3 linked regions of the Sus scrofa genome follow. The protein of the gene in region 1 purifies or fractionates together with the protein of each later gene. This does not show direct contact. Links are inferred from orthologs where the notes say so. Each region holds a gene or a part of one and is shown on either strand. Other genes may lie near its edges.

Evidence for each region. The genes of interacting proteins can lie anywhere in the genome.
Region 2: the proteins of MAP1S (region 1) and STK3 purify together in Homo sapiens (affinity purification with mass spectrometry; 3 studies listed by BioGRID and IntAct, with this or other methods). This does not show direct contact. The link is inferred for Sus scrofa from reciprocal best matches to the Homo sapiens genes MAP1S and STK3.
Region 3: the proteins of MAP1S (region 1) and RASSF1 purify together in Homo sapiens (affinity purification with mass spectrometry; 4 studies listed by BioGRID and IntAct, counting the BioPlex papers as one, with this or other methods). This does not show direct contact. The link is inferred for Sus scrofa from reciprocal best matches to the Homo sapiens genes MAP1S and RASSF1.

The regions. Positions count from the first base shown.
Region 1 is NC_010444.4:60,022,302-60,026,226, forward strand, and holds part of MAP1S (microtubule-associated protein 1S), read right to left. Parts: intron 3,422-3,925; coding exon 3,339-3,421; intron 2,271-3,338; coding exon 2,130-2,270; intron 1,434-2,129; coding exon 1-1,433. UniProt on the Homo sapiens protein: Microtubule-associated protein that mediates aggregation of mitochondria resulting in cell death and genomic destruction (MAGD). Plays a role in anchoring the microtubule organizing center to the centrosomes. Binds to DNA. Plays a role in apoptosis.
Region 2 is NC_010446.5:38,304,343-38,307,505, forward strand, and holds the end of STK3 (serine/threonine-protein kinase 3), read left to right. Parts: intron 1-1,067; coding exon 1,068-1,226; 3' UTR 1,227-2,435; downstream 2,436-3,163. UniProt on the Homo sapiens protein: Stress-activated, pro-apoptotic kinase which, following caspase-cleavage, enters the nucleus and induces chromatin condensation followed by internucleosomal DNA fragmentation.
Region 3 is NC_010455.5:32,815,428-32,819,207, forward strand, and holds the end of RASSF1 (ras association domain-containing protein 1), read right to left. Parts: exon of another isoform or gene 3,189-3,780; coding exon of another isoform or gene 3,144-3,188; coding exon 3,039-3,143; intron 2,842-3,038; coding exon 2,544-2,841; intron 2,424-2,543; coding exon 2,308-2,423; intron 1,688-2,307; coding exon 1,541-1,687; 3' UTR 729-1,540; downstream 1-728. UniProt on the Homo sapiens protein: Potential tumor suppressor. Required for death receptor-dependent apoptosis. Mediates activation of STK3/MST2 and STK4/MST1 during Fas-induced apoptosis by preventing their dephosphorylation.

The sequences.
Region 1 (3,925 bases):
CCGCCATCCTCCCCAACCGGGCTCAGCCCCAGCTCCAGGCTGCTCTCCTGGCTGGGGGTGGCCACGAGCTGAGGGGCTGGGGAGCCACAGGCTTCTGTGGGGGGGCTGGCCTCTCCACATCGGAAGCTGGGAGGGCTGCGGGGCCCATTCTCTGCCGGTGGGACACCAGGGCGTGGTGTGTTGGGTGCTCTGCGGGGCTTGGGAGCAGCTTGGGCACCCGCCTTCTTGCTGCTGACCACAGCGGAGGCCGTCCGGCGTACCTCCCTTGGCTCCCTTGCCCGAGGGGCACTCAGCTTGGGGTCCTTCTTCACCTCCCGGGGGGGCCTGGCTTCTTTTTCAGCCCTGCGAGGGGCCTCGGCCCGCGGGGGCTCCTTTCGGGTCACCCCGGGGCGCTCCTGGGCAGGCCTGGAGGGCACCGTGGCCCGGCCCTCTCGCCTCAAGCTGTCCCGGGAGCCGACGCTTTCCTTGCTCTCAGCTCGCCGAGGCCCTGCCAGGTCCTGGGGGGTCACCACAGGCTCCCGCAAGAACCCCAAGTGCTGCAGGCGGACCAGGCCATCCAGGAGGCGAGCAGGAGGCGTGCAGCCAGGGAACAGCACTCGTACCACCTTCTCAGCGGGGCCTGCTGGGTGCCACACCAGCAGGGCGCACACGGAGGCCAGTGTGTGGTCAGCAGCAGCCGAGGGTGGGTGCAACACGTACATGTCCAGCCGGCCCACACCCATCTTCTGGAAGAGCACTGTGGGCTCGGCCGGCAGCGGCCCGCGGTGCAGGGGCAGGGGTGTGATCCCCAGCTGGGCCAGGAGACTCAGGGCCAGCTCTGCCTCGTCCTCGCCACGCACCAGCCGCGAGGCGGCCGCCCGGGCATTGAGAAACACAACCCCCAGGTTGGGGGAGATCAGCCTGCGCAGCCGGTCGTCCCCGGAGCCCCCGCCAGCAGCTGCCTCATCGCGCTCTGCCAGCTTGCGCCGCAGCAGACTGTTGAGGCCAGGGAGGCTGTCGGCGCCCGCGTGGGTCACCAGCACGGCATCCACCCGGTCGAGGTGCCGCACCAGCTTCCAGAAGCTTGACTTGGGGTTAGAGCCCCCGTTGACCAGCACGGTGAAGCCGTTGACAGCGAAGAAGGCAGCATCCCCGAGGCCACCAGGGAAGATGTAGCAGCAGGGCCGGGCGAGCCGGAGGAAGCCCACGGAGGCCGGAGGCTCGAGCAGCTCAAAGGGGGACGGCAGCTCCAGCGACTCAGCCACATACTCCAGGAACTCACGCAGGCCTTCGGAAGCCGGCAGGTGCACGGGAGGGTTTAACTGCAGCTGGAGCACGCCCTGGAGGCCAGACACTTCAGGTGCCAGCTGGGCCCAGTCACCGAAGGTCGGACAGGTGATGGTGAGCTTGGGCGGGTCCACAGGTGGGGGTGTGGAGGCCAGGAGATCCCGGATCTGTAAAGGGGGGATGGTGAAGGGGGCACCTGGAGCCAGGCAACAGCCAGCCCCTTAGGGAGACTAAGCAAAGACAGCCCTGATCTGCCTTGTGGAGCTGGGAGCAGCTTTTGCCCACCCTTGTTGCCCTCAGGACAGAACCCAGTGCTCGCCACAGCCCAGGAGAGGCCATGGTCCTGCTTGCCACCTGTTCCCCACCTGCCCTCCCCCATCCTCTCTCACTCTCCCTGCCCCAGGGCCTTTGCACTAGCTGTTCTCACCTCCGAGAGCAAAGCTTCCTCCAGGAAGGCCTTCCATACGCCACCTTGCACCCTCACCTCTGTGTACTGGTTCTTATTTCACCATCACTATATTACTCACTACAACATGAAAACATGGTTGGCCAGAGGTTTTTTGCTCATTTGCCCCACCTAGACTAAAGGGTCCAGAAGGGACCCCATCTAGTTCTGCCCCAGATGGGACCTAGAATCTGGGGTACCCCTTGAGGCCTCTGGAACATCTGCTGATCTACGGGCCCAGCCTCGGACCACACACTGTAGTGAGTAATGGGACTGGGCTCTGACAACATATGTTGTCACTGTCATTCCACAGGGGAGGAAGGGATGTTGCTCAGTGGGGACAGCAGGTGACTGGGACCACTCAGCCCAGTGGGGAGAAACCAGAAATCAGAGGCAGGATGGGGAAGGGATGGCTTACCTCTTTGTCCCCCAGGACCTGGAGGAAGTGGCGAGGTGAGAAGCCCCCCGTCTGTAGCAGCAGTTCCCCTGTCTCCTCCAGGCATGGCCCAGCCAGCACCAGCAGCTTGTGAGAAGCAGGGTCCAAAAGAAGATTCCGGAGCTAAGGGAGGAGGAAGTGTTCAAGGCCATATTCTGTGCATTGAGATAGCCAACACCCCACTTCAGGGTCGTCCCCAGCCCCAAATCTATATATAACCACTCACTCCTGTCGCCCCAACATCCTAGCCAGTGCTAAACTAGAAGCTGAGATTGTAGCCTATGGGCATCCTGCTGGTCTTTGTGTACCCGCCCCCACCAACTCCTGCTCAATCTAGAAAGCCCAGCTCCAATGCCCCCTCCTCCTGGAAGCCCTGATGCCCCAAGCCCACCCCTCCCACTGGCCCAGCCCCAATGCCACAGGGAAGAAGGTACTGTGTCTGAGTCTGTCTCCTCCAAAGCTCCTTCAGGGAGCGTTTTTTTGTTTTTTGTTTTTTTGGGGGGCCTTTTAGGGCTGCAGCTGCGGCATGTGGAAATTCCCAGGCTAGGGGTCGAAGCGGAGCCACCACTATCAGTCAGCCTATACCACAGCCACGGCAACATTGGATCTGAGCCGCATCTGCAATCTACACCACAGCTTAGAGCAACACCAGATCCTTGATCCACTGAGCAAGGCCAGGGATCCAACCCACATCCTCACAGATACTAGTAGGGTTCTTAACCCTCTGAGCCACGATGGGAACTCCCAGGGAGCACTTTTGATCAGAGGAATCAATCTGCACAAGGATCTCTAGATCTGGGGCTCTATCTTGTTCATCTTTCTCATGGAAAACTGAGAGAAGAGTGCAGATGTCCACAAGTCAGAAGTATTAAGAAATCAATTGAGACAATTACTGGGGTCCAGAGGGAACACATAGGATGCAAACATCAGCCAGGTCTTGCCTTCCCACCTCCAGACCTTCCCTATCCCATCCGTTCCTCCCAAACTCCAACCTTTTCTGATTCTACCTGCTCCCATCACCAGCTCTGAGAAGGGAATAAACTGAGGCTGGTGCCATCACGTGAGGCTTCCTGGGGGAGGGGCACTGCTGCTGGGTATCAGGAGCAGGACTTCAGGCAATATGAAGTCAGAGGACAGGGAATGGTGCCCACCCCAGCAGCCCAATTCCCCCAGGAGCCTACCGTTTCCTACCTCGTCACATAGGGATTTGTCTGATGGATTCAGAAGGACCAGCGTCTCCAGGGTATCTCCACGGTGGTGCAGGCTCCGCTGGCCTACGGGGGAATCAGGCCCTGTGAGTGTGGCACTGAGCCCCATACGTGGGGGTTAGGCTGTCCTGGGGTCAAGCTCTGCCTCACTATGTGACCCCAGGCAGCCACAAGCCCCTCCAGGACTCTGTTTCCCAGGAACCCCAGCCAGGGGGTCATCCTGGGATTAACAGGCATGTGAGAGCTGCAGGTCAGGATGAGGCAAGAACAGGAAACCCGCCTGTGGCAGGCCTCGTGCAAACACCAGTGATGACAAGGCCTCTGCTGCTTGAGGCCCCAAACTGCAGCTGCCAGCCCCTTGGGGGATGCCGAGGTCACCTTCATTTTATAAACAAGGAGACTGAACCCAGGGAAGTCCAAGGAGGGGACACCAGGAAAAGAGTACAACATTGGCAAGGGCCCTGAGGCATGATTGAGCTCTGTGTGTCTGAGGATCAGGAAGTGGCAGGTGGGGTTGGAGCAGGGGGTTCTGGGATCCAAAACTTTGTCTGTCCCCTAGAGCCCAGATAT
Region 2 (3,163 bases), on another chromosome or scaffold:
AAATCATTGTGCTTTAACAGATTTTTTTTAATTACCTGCCTGCCCCCATTGCTTTAAGAGTCAGTTTCTGAAGGAGACAAGAGTTCTGGATTTTTTTTGTTGTTGTTGTTAAAAGTGTTAGGTTATATATTTCAGGGCATCCTATGAGCCCTGAGGCAGTATCCCTAAAATATGTTTATCAGGAGATAACCCGTATCTTACTGACTTGACATATAAATAAATACAATAAATCTCAGGATGCCATAGATCCTGTTACATCGAACAGATTTTATCTCCCATTCACACAGGACATGAGGCCTGCCTTCTGTTGTTACACAGAAAACCAGTAAAGGATGCGCTGGTGGTATCCCCAGAAGCTAGCACAATAAAACTAAATCATTCAGTCAAATCATACCATTACTGTATAATGTATACAGTGAACATGTGAGAAGTATTTCACTTTCAAATTGGCCAAGCCCCATGTCAGAACTTACATGGCACTGTTTGTACTAGATTTAGGTTATTTTGAATCATAAGCCCTATTCTATCAAAATGCTTGGGGTAAAAGTATTCTGGATCATTTAATTTTCTGATTAACCAAGTGCTTAAAATTTAAGCCTTTGGTAAAATGCAGGCTAGAGCAGTCAATTTAAGCTGTATTCAGTCTTGTCACATTCTTGGGGGATCTCTGCAAGTATCTGTGATTGCTGTAGCGCTCCACAGCTGGCGAGGCTGTGCGAGATCAGAGGGAATACATCCCCAACTTAGCCAGAAAGTCTGTTTGGTGACAATGGTGGATGTATCTTTCTGCCTTTTTTAAACACACATTTTTGTTAGCTTATTTTTCTCATTTGTTCTTTCCTAAAAGCAGAAGGGTTTTTTTTTGTTTTTGTTTTACTGTTTCATTGCAAATTACTTGAGGTTCTTTCTCGCAAGATGTGGCTTCCTGATTCTTCAAGGAAAGAATTCATGTTTTAATTGTTGAGCCATATTTCAAAGATGATGTAAAGAGTTGAAATATTCCTGCTAAAATTCATTAGACTTTAACCCATTATAGATAATTATTACTTTTTTTTCCTTACACTCAGTTAAAAAATCTAAGTTTAGAAGAACTACAGATGCGGTTAAAAGCGCTGGACCCCATGATGGAGCGAGAAATAGAAGAGCTCCGTCAGAGATACACTGCGAAAAGACAACCCATTCTGGATGCGATGGATGCCAAGAAAAGAAGGCAGCAGAACTTTTGAATCTAATTTCTCCTCTGTTTGTTTCTATGACTGTTCTGGAGACCAAGAAACCACTAAGAATTGAAGGGGTATTATGCTATCTTTTTCAATCTCTTAAGATCCGTGCTCTACAACCAGGCAGCAGTCAAAAACTGACGATGGTACAAACCCAGGTAAATTCCCCAAAGACAGAATTTAATACTGTATCCACTGTGTTTTCATTTTTTAAATAATGAAAACAGCAGAAATGGTGTTCTCTACATCTGTCAGCTGCATACCAGTACTAAAACTGTGTTTTAAAACGAAGGCTGTGTTTAGAAACCTTGAAAATCCAAAGCTGTTGTGTAATTGTACAGCACCGAAGGGCTTTATGTTACAGTATTCTTTATTCTTTTCTATTAGCCTATTTATTGTATCCCTTTAGGTAAACTTATTTATTTATGCTATTTCACCTTGTTTTGTTTTTTAAGGACAAGATCAGGATAGCTTTGGTGAAGGCAGGGACTATTACTAGATGATAATGAACAACCCAATTATACTGTAAGCAGGGAGCTCTGGGGTACATGCTTTCATTTCCAGGATAGTTTTCCAATAGAAGCAAAGCAATAATAGCAATAGTACCCAAAGGGCCCAGGCATTTTTTTATACAGAAGCAATAATTCCATTTTTACCTTCTGAAGTTTTAATTTTTTATTTTTGATGCTTGGTACAAATAAAACTATATATATTTAGGTCAGACAGAGCTGTAATGTTTAAAACCAAAGAAATCAATGGAACCCTTGCACAAAAAAGCATGGTAAATTTTTTAAAAGAAATAATTCCTTAAGACAAATGTAATTGTGAATATTGTTTCATGTGTAGGTCTCATAGCTAAACTGTATCAAATTGTAATAAGCTCATGACATTTTTTCTGTGAAAATGTGCTCAGTTGTCACCAGACATTTTTGTTGATTTCATTTATTTCCTGGGAATTGGTAAACATCATGTGCCTGATGATAGCAAAATAGCAGAAACATTTGTACTGAACTGTGCAAGCCTTGGGGACTGATAAAGATTAAAACTATTAAAAAGAAACTCATTTCTAAGCTGAATGAACATTTGCATGATTGAACTGGGACCAGTCATTTTCCTAAGCTACATATGGCCATCTTGACAGCGTTTGTTCTTTTGTGTGTTTAATTACTACATGTAAATCATAAAGACAAATAAATTTTACTGTGCCACCCAACACATTTCATCTCTGTATCTTTTTTTAAAAAACTCATGACCTGGATTCTGTCTTTTCCAGGGCAAGGAAGGTATATTTGTCTGGACAGGCTAGATTATGCTGTGATAACAACTCTGAACCCTTCAGTGGCTTACCGCTAGCCAGGTTATTTGGCACTTGTGTGCCCTGCTCCCATCTTTCATACCCAGGGACCCTGCTGACAAAGCTGTAACATCAGTGCTCACCACATGCTGACAGGCTCACTAATGACTACCTCAGGAGGTGTGTCATCTCTGGAAACTTCTGTTCTCCAAAATGGCAGCGTTGGGGAGTTCCCGTTGTGGCGCAGTGGAAACAAATCCAACTAGCAACCATGAGGTTGCAGGTTTGAGCCCTGGCCTCACTTGATGGGTAAGGATCCAGTGTTGCTGTGAGCTGTGGTGTAGGCCAGAGGCTACAGCTCTGATTCAAACCCCTAGCCTAGAAACCTCCGTATGCCATGGAGGTTCCATTTTCACTAAAAAGCAAAAATAAAACTAAAATAAAATAAAATGGCATTGTGCCCCAGGTAATGCCTGGAGTAGTGTTTCTTTTGCTGTGTTGAGTCCTTACAACTAGTAAACTGTGTAACTGGATACAAATTATAAGATCATTAAAATAGTGGAAAATATTGAAATTTTTATAAGTTATTAAAATATGAAAACTGAATTTACAACATATACTTCAGCTACATCTGTTTGGGGCAGTCAGG
Region 3 (3,780 bases), on another chromosome or scaffold:
GCGGAGCAGGGCCAATAGCCGTCCTCCGATGCTAGGCATCCTAGCATGCACTGCGAGACGTCAGTTCCCAGCAGGCCACGCTCCCTCCACCTGGGGCCGCTCCCACACAAGAAACCTGTGGCGGTGTGCTCCTGGCTTCTTCGATGTGTGTGGCGGCGTAAACGTCCACAACCCCTAGAAGTCAGGCTCAGCGGACCCGTCCAACCACCAGGTCCTCTCAAACCAGCACTTTAGGGCCTGACTTCAGGCCAGGCTGGGAAGTGCCTCTCTGGCCTCATTGTATTCCCACGCTGTTTGCTATTCCCACCGTGGCATGCGGAGAAAATACCGAACTTAAGGAGAATTGGCCAGTGGTTGTATGGCTACATTCAGGACTGAAGAACTTCAAATCGTGTTCTTTCTAAACCCACCAAAAACCATGCTTCATGAAGGTTAACATCTGTACCTTCGGTCCCATAAGCAGTGTCTGCTCCACACCAGTGTCTGAATATTTGGCGAAGTGTGTGGTTTCCCTAAGCTCCGGCCACAGCTGATGTTCTTGCCTCTACCATGCCCTGAGCTCCCAGGTGTTGACTAATGACCAAGTACATATCCATATCGCACAACCTTCACAAATTGGTCTCATGGTCCCCGTGGAAAAGGTGCTTTATGAGGCTGTCTGTCAATCTTGGCAGCCACTGGCATGAGGGGCAACTGCAGATGAGGGCCCGTAAAAGAATCCAAAAGCAGAATGCTTAAATCTTTATTCAGCCAATTCTCTCAAGCCCCAGGCCCTGATGCCCTTCACCCCGACCCCTTTCCCAACAGGAGGCAGTGAGCTGAGGTCACAAAATATTACATACATTCGCACACATCATCAAAAATACTCAAGGGAAAGACCCTGGCTTTGACTGGCAAACAAGGCACAGAGGTGGGCCAGTGCCCACACACAAACCCTGACCCAGGGACATCCTCCTTGGAGGAGGCACTGAGGCACCATTGCTGCACCATGAGCTAGCACTACCTGACCCCAGAGTGTCTGAGGAGTCAGAGGGTGCTACAGAGAGAATCCTAGACTTCCTTGATGCCTAGAATATCCATCCTTGGTTGTGACAGGGCTGTCCTGAGACCCTATCCAAGACTTAAAACACAATCTTTCACCATAGATGAGGGCCCTCATCCCTGCAAACATGACCCTATTATTTGTTTGTAGGATCTCAAAGATTCTTGTATCTAAGATACAAATTAAGTAGACTTCTGTCTGCTCCAGCCCCATTGGCAACCCTGGAGCAGCTTCCCAGGGCAACCCTGGCCCACCATGACCCAGTACATGAAGGGCAGAAGGGTGCAGAGCCATGCTCTGTTACACCCACTTGTGGACACAGGGGACCAGCTCCTTCGCTGTTCTCTGGGCTCATTCCCCCAGCAAGAGAGGGCCTCCATGCACATTCATTCCTCAGGCCACATGGGCCTTCGCACACTCACACGGCACGCCCTTGGCGCTGCCTACTCTCCTCCTTCCACCCAGGGGTACAAGAGGTCACCCCAGGGGTACAAGAGGTCACCCCAGGGGGCAGGCATGCAGGGCTTCCTGGATCTTCTGGCGGCAATAGGAGTACTTCTTCAGGATCTGGCGGAGGTGTTCCTCTTCTTCCCGCTGCAGGATGCGTAGGAAGTTGTGTAGTTCAGGCATGCTGAAAGCATCCCACTGTAGAGGGGGGGAGACACAGGCTGCAGCACACACCAACAAGCCAGCAAGCCCTCCCCAGAAAAGACCAGAGCATCATGATCACACAGCTGGGATGGGGCTTTCTAAAGTCGGCTTCTTGCCTGATGGCCTCTGCTAGGATTTCCAACGACAATCCACATACAAGATGGGCCCCACAAAGTAGGGCGGTCACCTCGTGGACAGGCAGCCAAGCCAAATGTTCCCCAGTTACCTGTGGATAATCATACCCACTCTCTCTGAGTTAAATCTCACTCTGCCTGTGTACTACCTTGGAGCTAGAAAGATTCCAGGTAAAAAGTTCTAATGCCTGAAGGGGGTGCCTCCATGTCATCCTGTGCCCATCTGTGTGACTTTGATCTGACCACCACACTGTAGAATGGGACTCCTGCATCACCGGAGGGCTTTCCACAATGGGAAAGAGCAGAGCACAAAGACATTTCTTCCTGGCTTCTTGAGTTAGGCCCTAGACCTTGGCATGAGTGTCACTTTAGCTACAAGTTTCAAATACTCTTGGGAGAGGTCTTGCAGGGCTACTGTAGCTGCAACTCACCAGTCCTGCCCAGTGACAACCAAGAAACTAAGGATGGCTGTATACTCACGTTCACCTCCCCAGAGTCATTTTCTTTCAGGACAAAGCTTAGGGCCTTCTCACTGGGCCCTGCGAGGAGCCGGAGCCGAAGGGGCTGCTCATCATCTGATAGCTTCCGGAGGTACACTGAGGACCAGGCAGGGGGACGGGAGTGTTTGATTAGTCAGGCCCAGTCCCCTCAGCTGCTGCATGCACAAGCACATTTACTTTCAGACATGATGGGGTGGGGTGGAGTGGGAAGCCCACCTTGGCCATGGCGCTCAGCCCGCTCAAAGAGCGCAAACTTGCGGGGATCATCTACCACCAAGAACTTGCGCAGCAGGGCCTCGATGACTTCACGTGCCCGGGTGCGTGACAACACATGCAGGTGCTTGACAGCATCCTTAGGCAGGTAGAAGGAGGTACGGCGTTTCACAGCTGTGCCCCGCCCTGGGCCCCGCCGGGCATCCTGCAAGGAGGGTGGCTTCTTGCTGGAGGGAACGGATACAGGACGCACCAGCTTCAGCTGAACCTTGATGAAGCCTGTATAGGAGCCGTCTTTGTTCTGAAGAAGAAAAAGCAAACCATGACTAGGTGCCAAGTGAGATGGAACAGATTTGGATGCTACCAGCCCACTTGGGGCTAGGCTGGGTATGAATAAATCACTGCTTGGGCCTACCCAAGAAAACCTCAGCTGTGATCCTTGGGCATCAGGCACACAGCTGGGTTCCTGCCCCTCTCCAAAACAGGATGTCAACTCACAAGGCTCATGAACAGGTTGCTGTTGATCTGGCTGTTGTACTCCTTGATCTTCTGCTCAATCTCAGCCTGAGAAAGGTCAGGTGTCTCCCACTCCACGGGCTCATCCTGAAAGATGGGAAGGTGTGGACACAGGATTCTTAAGGAACCCATTCCTCTGTAATGTGTCACAGGCAAAGGAAGTGAGCCCTGGATGGACCACTATGAAAAGTGGCCTATAGAAAGTGACAACAAAGCTTGAGGTCTGGAGTTCCCTGGTGGCTCAGTGGGTTAAAGACCTGGCATTGTTACTGTAGTAGCTTGGGTCACAGCTGTGTTGTGGATTCAATCCCTGGCCGCGGAACTTTCACAGGATGTGGGAGTGGCCAAAAAGCAAAGAAAAGTTTGAGCCTTGATGAGAATAACCTATTACTTCCTGCCTGGAGCCACCTTAGCACTGGGTAAGGCCCTAAGAATACCTGGAAACCAAGGTAACTGAAGGCATGAATGAGGCTAGGGGCTAGGAAAAGGATGGGGATTCTGAGGATGGACAGCTTATCTCAGCACCCTAGTTGGGTGGGGTCAGGGCGTGTCCTGGAGAAGGCAATCCACTTTGCTACTCTGCCCTGACCAAGACCCTCTATACAGTGAGAGGTGTAGGGACTGGTGCATACCAGGAGCTCGGCCGCCAGTGGGCAGAAGGGGAACAGCAACCTCTACAATGTTAACAATTAACACCCCCTGGTGGGGGACTTGGGGCCAGCCC